Linked DNA regions of Mytilus edulis. The protein of the gene in region 2 purifies or fractionates together with the protein of the main gene of each other region. This does not show direct contact. Links are inferred from orthologs where the notes say so. Each region holds a gene or a part of one and is shown on either strand. Other genes may lie near its edges.

Region 1 (7,803 bases), on a different chromosome or scaffold from region 2:
TCATGACAAAATTGTATTTTGGTGATGGTGATGTGTTTGAAGTTCTTACTTTACTGAACGTTCTTGCTTCTTACAATTATATCTATAATGAACTTTGCCCATTAGTAACAGAGAAAAATATTTGGTAAAAATTTACATAAATTTACCAAATTAATGAAAATTGTTAAAAATTGACTATAAAGGGCAATAACTCCTTAAGGGTTCAATTGACCATTTTGTAGATCTTACTTTGCTGAACATTATCGCTGTTCACAGTTTATCGCTATCTATAATAGTATTCAAGATAATAACCAAAAACGGCAAAATTTCTTTAAAAATTACGAATTGGAGGGCAGCAACCCAACAACCGGTTGTCCAATTCATTTGAATATTTCAGGGCAGATATATATTGACTCGATTAACAATTTAACTCCTTGTCAGATTTGCTCTAAATGATTTGGTTTCAGAGTTATAAGCCAAAATCTACATTTTACCCCTATGTTCTATTTTTAGCCGTGGTGGCCATCTTGGTTGGATGGCCAGGTCATCGGACACATTTTTCCAACAAGATACCCCAAAGATGATTGTGGTCAAGTTTGAATTAATTTGGTCCAGTAGTTTCAGAGGAGAAGATTTTTGTAAAAGATAACTAAGATTTACGAAAAATGGTTAAAATGACTATAAAGGGCAATAACTCCTAAAGGGGTCAACTGACCATTTCGGTCATTTGCTTATTTGTAAATCTTACTTTGATGAACATTAATGCTGTTTACAGTTTATCTCTATCTATAATAATATTCAAGATAATAAACAAAAACAGTAAAATTTCCTCAAAACTACCAATTCAGGGGCAGCAACCCAACAACGGGTAGACTGATTCATCTGAAAATTTCAGGGCAGATAGATCTTGACCTGATAAACATTTTACTCCCCCCCCCCCATGTCTTATTTCCTCTAAATATTTTGGTTTTTGAGTTATAAGCCAAAAACTGCATTTTACCCCTATGTTCTATTTTTAGCCGTGGCGGCCATCTTGGTTGGTTGACCGGGTCACACCACACATATTTTAAACTAGATAGCCCAAAGATGATTGTGGCCAAGTTTGGATTTATTTGGCCCAGTAGTTTCAGAGGAGAAGATTTTTGTAAAAGATTACTTAGATTTATGAAAAATGGTTAAAAATTGACTATAAAGGGCAATAACTCCTAAAGGGGTCAACTGACCATTTTGGTCATGTTGACTTATTTGTAAATCTAACTTTGCTGAACATTGTTGCTGTTTACAGTTTATCTCTCGTCATCTGAAAATTTCAGGGCAGATAGATCTTGACCTGATAAACATTTTTACCCCAGTCAGATTTCCTCTAATTGCTTTGGTTTTTGAGTTATAAGCCAAAAACTGCATTTTACCCCTATTTTCTATTTTATTTCCGGGTCACGCCACACATTTTTCAAACTAGATACCCCAATGATGATTGTGGCCAAGTTTGGTTCAATTTGGCCCAGTAGTTTCAGAGGAGAAGATTTTTGTAAAAGCTAACGACGATTGACGATGATGACAACGGATGCCAAGTGATGAGAAAAGCTCACTTGGCCCTTTGGGCCAGGTGAGCTAAAAATATAAACTTTTTTGTATGAGGCAGAGAAACTGGGGAAGTGTGAGGTTCTATCGAGCCCATCCCCAGTTTTGTGCTGAATACACAAATGTTTATATTTTTAATGACATTGACCTAATATGGTTTTTATACTGCAACTTAAATTTATAAATTGATAGCTTTTTAAATTGTTACATAAATATCAAACTTATTTTCATCCTTAATGAACCCCTTAATGTGGAAAAAGTATTCCATGGTGAAATTGACATTGCACAAAATATATGACTGTCTTACTATATTTAGGAAATAAACACAACTACGTAGTTGCAGTATAAAATGATGTAAATGCGTAGGATGAAACCTTTAAAGGCTTTTATAATTATGAATTGGAGCAAACATGATTTTGGGTGAAAAGATCCAGATTCAATGCATTACAGGGCCACATATTTGTCCAGATTAACATGAAGTCTGCTAAGGTTTTTTTCTATTACTTTAAAGCAGAAAAACAAAAGTCTAACAATATGTTATAAATATTTGGACTAGAAATCTACTAGTTTCTATAGAGACAAGTAGAGTTCTAAGACTCAGACACAGGCACTTGTTTTCTATCCATGTCAAGATCTGCTATCCCTATATATAATTACTAATACCTACATCTACATTCTACGTTGATCTGTCAAACTTGACCAATACTCAACGCTTCTGGTTGGTGCAAGAAAAAGAGTAATTTTGTAAGATAACTAAAGAATATACAAGCGAGTATAAAGTATGACAGAAAAAAAAAAAAAAGTAATAAGGCCAAATAAAAATATATGTGTGGTTCCAGTAACCCTACCGTCCCTACTTTTTTGGCTGAAAAATAGCCTACCCTAAAGATTTTATTGTCATTTTTCATTAAGCACTGTTAAAGTCAGAATGTTGCTCCCATAGACTCAATGTAAAAAAAAAAACATAAAATAAAAAAAAATCCCTACCTACACCTACCTACCCTAACTTTTTTTCAGATGTAACTGGAACCACACATACTTTTTTATTTGGCCTAATAAAGCAATGTATAAAAAAAGGGGGTTACCATTTGCTTTTCATTCATCTGGCCTGAACCAATCCGGCTTCTGTGGCGGTACCAGGGAGACGTATCCCCGCCGGCACAGTTCCCATCCATCATTTGACTTACTTGGCAAATGGGGATAGTAGATCTTGCCATGGATAGAAAACAAGTGCCTGTGGACTTAGATCTTAAAATGTTTGTTCTTGGGACTACAGTCTACATGTATGATTATGAACAGACATATATATGTCTCTGTTATAAACATGCATTGTGTGGTGACATAAATAAAACGATTGGTAAACAAAAGTATATACATAACAAAGAATGAAAATGAATATTGACTTTAAAACATGATTCCAATCAGCTTGTAAGATTATTCTTCCACTTCTGGACACCATAGCTGTTTGGTCTTTGGTTGTAACAGGAGCTCTAAAAGAACGGGGATCGACGCCAACATTATCTTGATGATTAAATGAATACATCGTTCGTATATTCCTCCGTTAAAAGGAACACAACAAAAGCAGGCTTATCACCGTTTATAGGCTATGTGTAAACCTATTTTATTATGTGGATGAATAACTTTGAAATTACATTTGATTACACATATAATTTAAAAAGTGAAATCAACAAATTAGATTTGTGCAAAAATGAAATTAAAACATAAGCATTAACATTGTTTTCAGAACTTGAAAAACTGCGATCTATAGATCACAGACACAGACAAGTGTTTCTATCCATGGGAAGGCCTACTATCCATATATTCGACTAAACTTATATATGGATAGTCGACCTTCCATGGATATAAACAAGTGCCTCAGGGTAGTCTAGATTTCTTAGTGTAATAGTATCATTATCTTATTTATGATGGTGGGATGGGTGGATTTGGACGTTTAATGCTTTTTTGTAAAGAAAAATACTATGTTGCAGCATAAGCCAACAAATTCATTCTGTTAAACAAAACCATGCAAAAATAAATGGGGGGGGGGGGGGGGTTATAAATATTCTGGTTCATGTAGCCTATACTCAGTTAAAATGACAAATGACATTCAAACATTTAAAAAATGTGTAAACTGACGTAGTAGCTATTTTGAGGGGTCCGGATAGGAGGGGTCGAAATCCCGTGCTTAAAAACACGAAATCCAAAAATCCCGGGCTTAAAAAAACGAAATCCCGATGTCCCGAAATTCGAATAAAGAAATTCCCGGATCCCGAAAGGGTCAATCCCCAAATCACGAGCTTAAAAACACCCGATCCCGGAGTCCCGATAAAGGTCATACCCCCCCCCTCCCCCACCCACCCCTATTTTCGTTGGTTCTTCAAGTGATCTTTAGTTGAAATGAAAAAAGTGCCTGTTCCACAATATGTTCTATTAGTTTGCAGCATATCCAATTTAGAGGCTGAGACAGGTCTGCATGAATTTACTTGCTTGGGTTTGCATGTATTGATTTGTCCGAATTTTGAGAAGTTTTTTTAGCCATTATACTTGTCTTCTACTTGTATTTCTGACATAAATGGGTAGTTGTCTGAAACACGAGCTGGTAAATGTTCCTTTTCATAATTATTCCGATATAAAAGCAGAGTGAAGTTGCTTGTTAAATATCAAGTTTTGATTTTTTGTTTTGTGTCGAATTTTAACAGATCTCAACTGTGCAACTCATGAGCTGTCATTTTTTATATTCCTCATATAATTCTTAAACTTTTTCTGGTATGTTTTTGTATTGTCTAAATACTTGTCATACCATACGATGTTCTTTAGATATGTCCAATTATAATAGGCTTTTCGTGTCTGATTTTAAATCAATGTCTTTGTTTCTCTATGTTATTGTTATTCAGTTAATTCCAATCTTTTTAAATAAATGTAGTCTGTTAATTTTTCTAATGAGTTATTCCTTATTTATCAAATTTTCTTTTTTTACGGGGTGGAAGGGTGGACGTATTATTGATAATTTAGGTTGGGATGGATAACTCCTTGATTTTTTATTTACGTTTTTTTAGTTTCCCCAAAAAAACAAACGAAAAACAAGTAGTATTTCTGAATTGCATGTTACAATTGTATTTTTCTTTGTTTTCTTTTATTTTAACTCCACCGATCGAATTTAAGATTTGAGTGGGTTTAAGTTCTACATAAACACTGTTTTAAGCCACAGTGACTCCTCATATATAAGAACCGAACCTGGTTAATCTTTCATGTTGTACGATAGACCAACCTTAATAATACGTCTCCATAATTTGATGTTTAAACTTATTAGAACTTAGATAATCTCGGTTAAATTTATTCTCAACTTTCTAGATTAGCGGACCTGGCCTTAGAGGCTATAAAAGATGTGGACATTGTATAGATGAAAATCGTATGGCGACCTCTAGTTTCCCTGTGTAAATAACCAAACTTTCTTTCAATCATATCAGTGTTTTAAGAACGTAAACTACTCGGTCGTGGTGCCAAATATTGTGATAATGGTGAACTTGTAAGGGTAGGTACATAAATTTAGCGAATCATAAAGTCTTTTGGGACTCTCTTGTTTACATGTAAATAAAATATGTCATGAAGTGTAATTTTATTGTCATACTTCGATAGAACCTATTATCAGACATGTGCCACACCTTTTAACCCTTCAACGAACTATACCAACATTGTATGTAATTGATGATTTAAATATTGTATTCGAAATTTCAATAACAGTAAATAACATTATGTATACACATATGAATAATGTAATCATTGAAAAAACGATCAAACAAAACAGCTTTATTTCTCATGAATAGATGTTGGTTTAAACTGCAAACAATGTGTATTTGTTTGTTTATATATTGATCTTTGATAAAGGTATTTTCCCTATCGGTTTGCAAAAACTTAGCCTATATGTGTTGTAAACACATGCAATATGTAATTTTATTTATTTAGAAATTAAGTTAAACCTTTCTTTATAAATTACGGCTTTTCTTTATACATATGTTCATGACTGTCATATCGTCAACTGTTTATTGGATTGACACATCTTTATACATATGTTCATGACTGTCATATCGTCAACTGTTTATTGGATTGACACATCTTTATACATATGTTCATGACTGTCATATCGTCAACTGTTTATCGGATTGACACATCTTTATATGGCACGCCGTTTTTATATTTATTCAAATTTGAAGATATCTTATTTATTTAACAAGATATCTTATTAAGTATTAAGATATCTTTAATTTTTATAAGATATCTTATTTAATTTGAAAGTAAATAAGATATCTCTATTAGTTTATAAGATATCTCCATTAGTTTATAAGATATCTCTATAAGTTAATAAGATATCTCTATTAATTAATAAGATATCTTATTAATTAATAGAGATATCTTATAAACTAATAGAGATATATTATTAACTCATGGAGATATCTTATATATTAAATAAGATATCTTTATAACCAATTAAATAAGATATCTGTATAACCAATTAAATAAGATATCTCTATAAGTTAAAAAGATATCTCTATAAGTTAATAAGATATCTCTAAAAGTTTATAAGATATCTTATATAAATAAATAAGATATCTCGAAATTGAATAAATATAATAACGGCGTGCCATATCTTTAAAACATATCTCCTCATTCTATGGAGAACAATGTTATCCAAGTAAAGAAGCTGATTTTGATGTGGATGAAGTCAGGACCTTTAGATGGCCAGCTGAAGGCTACCATCGGGTACATATGGGATTATTCTCTGCGTTAAAAACCCATATGGTGGCATTCTGCTATTTTCTGCGTCTCTTTGACACATTCCCCGTATCCATTCTCAATTCTATTTAAGTCATATCTGAACCAGATTATAATCTTTAACTATATGTTAAATCTCGTCATCAGGTGTTTGTATACTGATCTTATAATTTGCATTGTGTGTCAATCAATGGAACATCAATGCTTTTGTTTTTTCCTAGTCCCCTCATTGATATTAAGGGTTAATTAAATAGATATATTGGACTTCGCTGTTCGATAATGATACCGGTGCTGATGTAGCGATGACTGCTTGACCCTGTTTGATGTATAGGTACACTGGTAAGTTTGGTCGGAATGTGAACATTTAATTTACATCTGTTGGTATGTTTAAACAGTGTGGGACAAGCGGACTAGCTGCAAATTACCCTTATTATATTTAAAAGGTCCGAAGATAACTCTTTGCAATGAAATAATTATCTCTTACAAGAACCTGTTATCCCCATGGAAATTACCGATATGTTGGTACTTTCCGTGCATGCTGGACGATCCACTTTACCAGACTATCATATTGGGTTCATACATAGTTTTGATCAACCATGAACTAGTTGCCACTGGATATTATACAAACAGTCAATCAATCTAAATTCTCTTTTGTTTTATTAACTTGTCTTGTCTTTAACAGGGTTGTTGGATGGGGTTATTGTATTTATTGATGAGTAACTGTCATTACAAACAGTTCTAGCTGTAAATAAAAGATACAACCGATCATTTTAACAAGTGATTTTGGAGAATTTGCCACAATTGTTTGACACAATCAATTAGGAAAATCTCTTTGACTATTTCAAATGCGATCATTATACTGACATATCGTGTCAATAATGAATCCGTTTATGTTCGAAACCTTTTGAAAGACTAAAAACAACCTATCAGAATAAGTACCTAGAATTGATAGTCCACCGATCATACAGTATTTAAACAAGGATTTGTATAGTCTTACTATAAAAATACTTGATTTAAATAAATAAAAAAAATATTTAAACAGTTTGAACTTTATTTTAATGTAGAGTCATTTGTTTGGATAGTCTTTTTCATGCCGTAGACTAACATTTTGTTTCTATTGATTTTGATTAACTAGGTATTTGACAAGCTGTTACGTCGTATCAGTAAAAATACTAAATTTTTTAATCCACGGTCATCATTATACTGTTTTACCAGTACCAGCGATTTATTTACGAGGAAAATGCTAGTAACGGAATTATTAGTACTACAAAATAGGAGAAGATTCAAAAGGAACCAAAAAAACTTACAACAGACAGAATCAAACCCAGAAGAATGAAGAGCTGCGGCATGAGCGCATGATACGCCGGTCACTTTTCCAACGAATAAAGTTCCATTTCTCCTCAATGTTAGATCAGAAACTTGCAAAGAACTAAATGGAGCTTATTCTTATAGATATAAAACAGTCACCAAATT
Region 2 (7,960 bases):
CACCTTTACGTCGTGGACTATATTTATCTTAATTTATTTGATACATATGATTTAAAATTATGCAACAACAATAACCCTCAATAGCAGACAGACATAGAAAGGATCTCAAGAGTTTCAAATTAATCAATGGAGTTGGGAATCCAGAGAAACCATTCAATCTGATACCCCTTGAAGTCAAGAAAACTATACACATGCGCATAATTACCTAAACAAACCCTATACTCAATGATACTTGTAATTTATAGCAAGGACATATATTAAATGTTAATTAAACGACCTAGGTGGTTCTCCATTTCTTTATGGAAGTACATGTACAATATCAAATATCAGTTTCAGAACGGTGACATATAAGAAAAATTCCAATTTAGTTTTTATATGATAAAAATAGATTTATCGGAATTCAGAGAACTCTGCATTTTATCAAAACTGGGGAATTCCCTCCAAAGCGTTTCTAAATTTATAAAAACACTAAATATAAATACTGCTTAATTATGATGTTCTGTGTTGTATTAAAAAACGCATACATGTATAAATCAAGGGAAATATATATGGAAACATGAAGATTATGAGAAGAACATTCAAAGAAAGTTGTCTAAATTAAATCCTTTTGATTGTTTTTATCTTTTAAAGCAAGACAATCTTAAGAATTTGAGATGTTCCTTTATGTTTAGAATAAAACGGTTGACGTGAGGGCATGGACCTGAGTCAATGGTAAAACTCTACAGATTGCTTGAAAGCAATCGTATCCCAAAAATTTGTAAGGGTTCCATTGTCTCGCCTACTTTTGCTGTAATCACAGGCTCAACAAAAATGAGGAAAAAAGTCAATAAAAATATTCCTCTTGATACTATCTTTTGGTTGTAAAAATAAAGCTTCTGTCCAAGTTTGGTAAAATCCCAGGATAGTTTATGAATCTCATAAATGTTTAAAAACTTTAACTGCAGACTGAATGAAATGATAACTGGAAATTTCCTGGCAGAAAATCTAAGTCATGTAACAGTAAAATACAGAAAAAATGAATTTATTATTTTTTTTTATTTTCTTCTAGATACTAGCTTTTGACCATAAACAAGCTTCTGTCCAAGTTTAGTACAAATCCAAAATAGTATAAAAAAGTTATTAAAATTTTAAAAACTTTAACCAGAGTGAATGTGTTCATGGTGTTGTTTTCTGGCAGAAAATCTAAATCCATTTAAAAGTAAAATATGGAAAAAATGGAAATATTAATTTTTTTACAAAATTTACTTCTGCATACTACATGTATCTTACAATCTGACATAAACAAGCTTCTGTCCAAGTTTGGTAGAAATCCAGGATACTATAAGAAAGTTATTAAAATTTCAAAAACTTTAACCACAGAGTGAATATTTGAGGACGCCACTGCCGCCGCCGGCGGAATGTAGCATTGCTATGTCTCGCTTTTTCGACTAAAGTGAAGGCTCGACAATAAATGAACTAGTAAATCTGTTTCATGATTTACAGTCCAGTGATATTGTTAGCATTTTTCAAAAACTATTGGGAAAATATGAGTCATTTTTATCAAATTTGGAAATTTAGAATAAACCATGAATTTGACTGAAACTTCAATTTGCAGACCCCCTTTCAAGAGTCAAACCCTGCTTTGAAATAGGACCCCTTATTGTCAGTGATGATACATAAATGGACCCTCAAATCTACACATATAATCATTTTAGGCATGGAAAATGTATAAAGGAGTCTGTATTCTGTTTGCATTCATGCACAAATACTACTGAGACTGCACTATTTGGGAAAAAAGTTGTCTTTTTGGGAATAATTTAAAGCCATTTTTTTTTCAAATTGGGATTTTTCTCCAGAGGAAAAGCCTTTATTCTCCAGTAATTTAAGGCAAACAATATCACTGCAGTGGTACATCATTGTTTTAATTAATTTCAAGCAGAATATTTTATCAAAACAAAACGTTTGTTTTAATTATTAATCCATCAAAAGACAAGTATCACAATAATAAGTGATCCGAATTATTTTGGCATTGAACAATTAATGATTCTAAACAAGCCATAAACTTTTCAATATTTCCATGTTTCCATAAATTTCAAGAATATATACAATGATCATGATATACCAGTCAGATAGTAATATCTGAATACGTTTATTCAATTTTAATGCCCTGAATATTAATATTTTTTTGTAGGGCGAACAAACTATGTGGGCGAAAGAACTCAGGGCGAACATGTTATTAGGACTAACTCACTGTGGCCATGGGCTAACTGACCCCAACTCGCCCTATTTGTGATTTTACAAGATTGAAGATTTTACAAATAAGTTGGTCGAGTTGGTAAACAAGTTTAGGTTTTTTTTTCAAAAGTGGGGCAATTAGCCTAGGTGTGGTGGTGGGTCTCATTGGGGTCTAAGCGTGACGCGGGATTGCTGATTTTTTGTAAGCGTGACACGTGAAAGTCAAATTATTGTGTCGTGAAATCGGGAAATGAGGTCTTGCGGGACCCGGGAAATGACAAAAAAATGAGAATTGCTTACATACATAGTGTAAGCGGGATACGGGAATCTGACAAAACAGTAAGCAGGATCCGGGATCGGGACCCCCAATGAGACCCCCTGTGGTGCAATTTGGCAGTGGGGATATTTGTCCTGCTTCCATTGATAATTGAGTTGAGGTCATGAAAGATTTACCCAGCAATCAATGTAGTTATAATCAGAATAAGCAATTTTTAGAGCTGGCTTATTCCAACAGTCTGAAAATATTTGGAACAACTCCAAATTCATACATAAATTAAAACCTTTTGTTTAGAATATTGTGTATAACATAATTTATACCACATAAAATAAAGCTGAAAGTGGAAAGCCTGATGGGAAATCTTTTAGCTCAGTTGGTAGGGGTGCTTACTGGCAATGGTCAAAGTCTACCAATGTCTGGTGAAGACAAAGTTATGAGAGGGAAAACATGCTTTCCTTATATTTTTGAAAAATTGTTCGATAATTTGTCGTTAGTCGGTATTTACCTGATCCATTTTCGCTGAGTAGTTATAGATCTTGGTTGATTTGCTCTTCATAACAACAATTAAATACGGCGTCTAAAAGCGTTTAACTGATCTACACATAAATCAATGACGTATTTAACACAGACACTTGTAATTTGAGATACTTTGAAGTACTTTAAAAAGTCTTTAACTTAGGAGAGGTGGGTTAAAATTATGGTATCCAATTTTTAAATAAGCCAGACAATTCTGATTGCCAAGAGAACAAATTAGTGTTTCCCAATTTCTTGAAATGTCATTGTTGGGGAGGAACAGCTTTGTTAGATCATGTATACCTGTTTTGATAGGGATTTGCATGGGTATAGCCCTGAACATGATGGTGGCACCATTTCTTGATGATCTGTGTGATCCCATAGATACAAAGGATACAGAAAATTTAATTAAATTACGAGAAACAAAGATGGTCCATGAGGTAGATACTAAAAACAAGGAACAAGAACCAGGAAAAGGTGAAGTGAATGACCAAGAGACTGAATCAGATGGGAATGATTTCTACATTCATGAGCAAAAATATCAGCGTGAAGAAATAAAAGATGGTAAAAAATTTGTTCGACCAAGATTTGCCTCTACTGAACTTGGTATAAGAGAAAAGCTGTTTGTTGGAGTACTCTCCACTCCTCACACAGTCAATTCATTTGGAATGGCACTGAACAAAACATTTGCACATTATGTCACTAAAACAGTTTTCTTTACAAATGGTAAAAGTGGAATGCCTCCCCCTGGGATGCAAGTCATTAGTTTTCCTGATCAGGACAATAAGAAACTTCCAATACATGCACTTAAATACATAAAGGAACATTATGCAAGTACATTTGATTATTACTTGTTCATCACTGATCGTACTTATATAAGAGGAGAAAAACTTTATGAACTTGTTGGTCACATCAGTATCAGTGAAGAGGTACATATGGGAGCCATATTGCATAGAGGTGACCAAGGAGACATGTGTACACTTGATGGTGGTATTATTCTTTCACAGGTAAATGTACATGCAATTAGTCAACGTTAGTTAAGACACTTCTTTAAAAATTCTTTTGACATTAAATCAAACATACATGTACATGTAACTTTAGATTAAACTTGAGCAAAATAGCAATTAAGGACAACCAAAAAGAGTTTATAATACATGTAAATTATTAACAAAGATTTGTTTCTGCCTAACAGAAGTTCCCCTGGAAACTTTGTCATTATACATGTACCTGCACCTGTAGGAACAAATATTCTATAATTTTCCAAAGGAAATAATGTTACAGAATATTATGAAGGAACTAGATAAAAGGAACTTCTTTTTCGTGACAACATTCAAGCATTGTTTTTTACAATCTGTTGAACATTTCTTATCCAGATGGACCAATGCCTAAAGTAAAAAAAAGTTAGTTACAAATATTGTCATGATTGTTATCTTGTACTTAACTTGCTTTCATCTAGGACATGTTTTTGTTTTTTTTATCTATTTATACAATAAACTATTTTCATTTACTGTAACTAACTTATGACTCTGGAGAATAAATGTAAATTATTACATTGGTTGCAATGAATTACATTGATTTCCCAGTTAGATAAAAACCGATAATTTCACATGTGAAATAAACGTGGTTATTTCACTCTCTGACGTCATACAACAATAGGCGTTGTCAAGACGTCGATAACGTCGGATCAAAACAAATTGTCAATGCGTAGGAAAAAGATATAGTTCCTTACATTTTCTACATTAATTTCATTAAAAAAAACCATTTGCCAATGTAATAAAAAGAATAACTAATCGTCGTATTTGAATATCAAAAATAAGACAACTTGTGACAGAACGCCGCTATGGATTAAACTCGTGCTGCGCACTCGTTTAATCCATGCGTCGTTCGGTCACGCGTTGTCTTATTTTTGATATTCAAATACGGCGATTAGTTATACTATAATTATTCATTTCTTAACAATGATTAATTAACTGTTTTCAATGATTTTGCTACATTCAAAGAAAATTTAAACATGTTTAGTAGTTTGGTGTGACATCAATTTTCATTGAATTAGTACAGATTTTTGTTAAGTGGCCAGCTGATGTCTGGTTGCAAGATTTTTTTGTGGTTTTGAAGATCCCTTGGTCGCCTTTGGCTGTTTTCTTGTCACTTAGAAACATTCCGTTTCCATTTCCAATTTGATAAACACTTATTTTTTTCCCAAGTTGCGTCAACTTTAAGCTTTTTTAAAACTTATTTTTCCCAAGTTGCGTCAACTATAAGCTTTTTTAAAACTTATTTTACTTGCTCATACTTGACCATGTTGACTGTGTACCAGAATAGCCTACCACAGAGAACAAAACTTGTTGAAAAAGTACATTGTACATATGTTCATGTATATTTGTACAAAATACAATGAATTTGTAAAATACTTGGAATAGTTAGTGATTTTGTAAAATCACTACAAAATCACTAACAGTCTATTACATGTGATTACAGTACATTTGAAATGCATTTTCCTAATACAAATAAACCAATGATTTTGAAATATATTTTTAAATAAATACATTTGTACATGAAATAATACAATGTACTAGTCAAAACTATTAATATGAACATGATGAATAATAGGCATTTAAACTTACACTACTGTATGATATTTCAGAACATTTACAAATGGTAGAGTTTAGACATTCTTAATGCTTGTTGAAAAGATATGAAACTTTCTTTTGAGATGCACAGCTGTCTGACTCAAAAGCAGAGCATCAGTGCACATGGGTTCATTGGGCTGGTTCTAGTACATGCCCCTAAAACATATTGCCATGTTTAATTTGGTAACAAGACTATGTCCTGTATGTCATGTATGTTGTAAAATGTACATGTCCTCAAGCATAATATTTGACATCTTCATCTTACACATATCTGATGAATACCAGGGTTTTTTTTTACAATTTTTTTACATTTCCACATTGAAGAACTTCATACCTACATTAAACAAATGTTAACTTTTAATTTAATTTGTGGAGAAAGTTTAGAAACTTATTTCAAGTTTGTTCACTTTGTGCATGTTGTGATAGATTTTATTTATATAAGACAATATCTTAGATATGACCAAAGTCAAAATCAGGAATTTTATAAAATCACTGATCAGTTCAGTGATTCAATGTGATTATACAGCTGAATCACGGATCGATACATTTCAGGGATTTGACTGTAACCAATGATTTGTACATATAGTACAGTAAGATTTACTATACAAATCCTTGCTGTAACCTCTATACTCAAAATTCGAAAGTCCACAATATGAAAATAGTCTTTTGGTTTTAGGCCACCTAAGATCACTGCTACCTCTAGTTAAAAATTATGGTGCTTTGTTTTTAGGTAGAATAAAGGATATGTTGTATGATAGCCAATGAGTAAACTATTCTACGGAGTAAAAATGAAGTAGCACCGTCTAAAACTGTAGACATCAATAAAAGGCTAACAGACGGCCTTCAACAATGAGATAAACCAATACATATATTGTTACGTACATGCTGAGAAATACTACAGAGCAGATTTCATGTCCAACATCATGCCATTTTGATAAATAAATCACCACAAAAGGTGACCAATGCACATGATGCAAGTGGGATGTGTTTTGTGCACAATGTATATCTGTTCTGAATGTGATACCACACTAACTATTTTGTCAATGCTTTTATTTTTGTTCAATCAGCAATACTTTTCACACTGTTTTTGTGAATACTAACATTTAAATTATAAAATCATGATATTCACAAATGTATTCATATTTGTCTGTTTCAGAATGTTTTGTCAAAAGTATATCCTAAAATAGATTCCTGTTTTTTGAAGTCAGAACAGAACCCAAGCCTAGCATTTGAAGCTTGTATTTTACAAACTGCCAATTCAAAGTGTTCAGAGAAAGGAGGGGTAATTTATGTTTATAATTTAGATTCTTTGAATTTCTATATATTTCATATTCTTATTTTGTTGAATCCTGTTTTGCTTTAGAAATTTTGACAAATTAACCACATCTTTTAGTAAATATTATACAACCTCCTCATCCATGTCATCACCATTAGCAAGCAGATTTACATTTCAGAGGTCCATTAAATACACCTCACAATTTATTATGAAGAAAGAGATCTTACATTTACTTCAGTATTGTGTATTAAAACATCAACTGTCATACAAATTCATTGGTTGCTTGTTTATAGTCTAATTTATAGATTTTATATTTTTTAGGATAAAAACTTTCGATCTTATAAAGTAGATGATTTTGAGTTTGATGATGACATTACAAGTTTACGTAGCGATGCCATGTTTAACAGTTCATTCTCAATATATCCCATGCCAGACGATATATCTCTGTATAAGATACACAGGTTTGTTGTTTCTTATTTATACATTGTACATTAGTTAATATGTTCAGAATGATGCCATGTTTTCATTATAATAAAAAATATATATTGAAAATACATCAATATACAGGCAGCAACTCAATGACACCATAAAATCACTATACACCTGGAGGCAAATATACTCTACACAGAGATGACACCATAAAAACACTACACATCTAGAGGCAAGTAAATGTGCATCCAGTCTTCACACAGATTACACCATTTAAACACTACACATCTAGAGGCAACAGTAAGTCTTCACACTGATGACACCATGAAAACACTACACATCTAGAGGCACACATTCAGTCTTCACACAGAAAATACCATAAAAACACTACACATCTAGAGGCAAACATTCAGTCTTCACACTGATGACACCAAAAAAATGCTACACATCTAGAGGCAAATATTCAGTCTTCACACAGATGACACCATAAAATCATTACACATCTAGAGGCAAACATTCAGTTTTCACTCTGATGACACCATAAAACACTACACATCTAGAGGCAATCAATCAGTCTTCACACAGATGACACCATAAAACACTACACATCTATAGGAAAAC

Evidence for each region. The genes of interacting proteins can lie anywhere in the genome.
Region 1: the proteins of 26S proteasome regulatory subunit 8 (region 2) and proteasomal ATPase-associated factor 1-like purify together in Homo sapiens (affinity purification with mass spectrometry; 7 studies listed by BioGRID and IntAct, counting the BioPlex papers as one, with this or other methods). This does not show direct contact. The link is inferred for Mytilus edulis from reciprocal best matches to the Homo sapiens genes PSMC5 and PAAF1.

What each region holds. Positions count from the first base shown.
Region 1 is NC_092353.1:17,727,092-17,734,894, reverse strand, and holds the start of proteasomal ATPase-associated factor 1-like, read right to left. Parts: upstream 3,080-7,803; 5' UTR 3,020-3,079; coding exon 2,964-3,019; intron 1-2,963. UniProt on the Homo sapiens protein: Inhibits proteasome 26S assembly and proteolytic activity by impairing the association of the 19S regulatory complex with the 20S core.
Region 2 is NC_092345.1:101,529,556-101,537,515, forward strand, and holds the start of 26S proteasome regulatory subunit 8, read right to left. Parts: upstream 3,087-7,960; 5' UTR 3,048-3,086; coding exon 2,997-3,047; intron 1-2,996. Other genes in the region: chondroitin sulfate glucuronyltransferase-like, read left to right, coding at 3,265-4,011, 6,791-6,916, 7,232-7,371.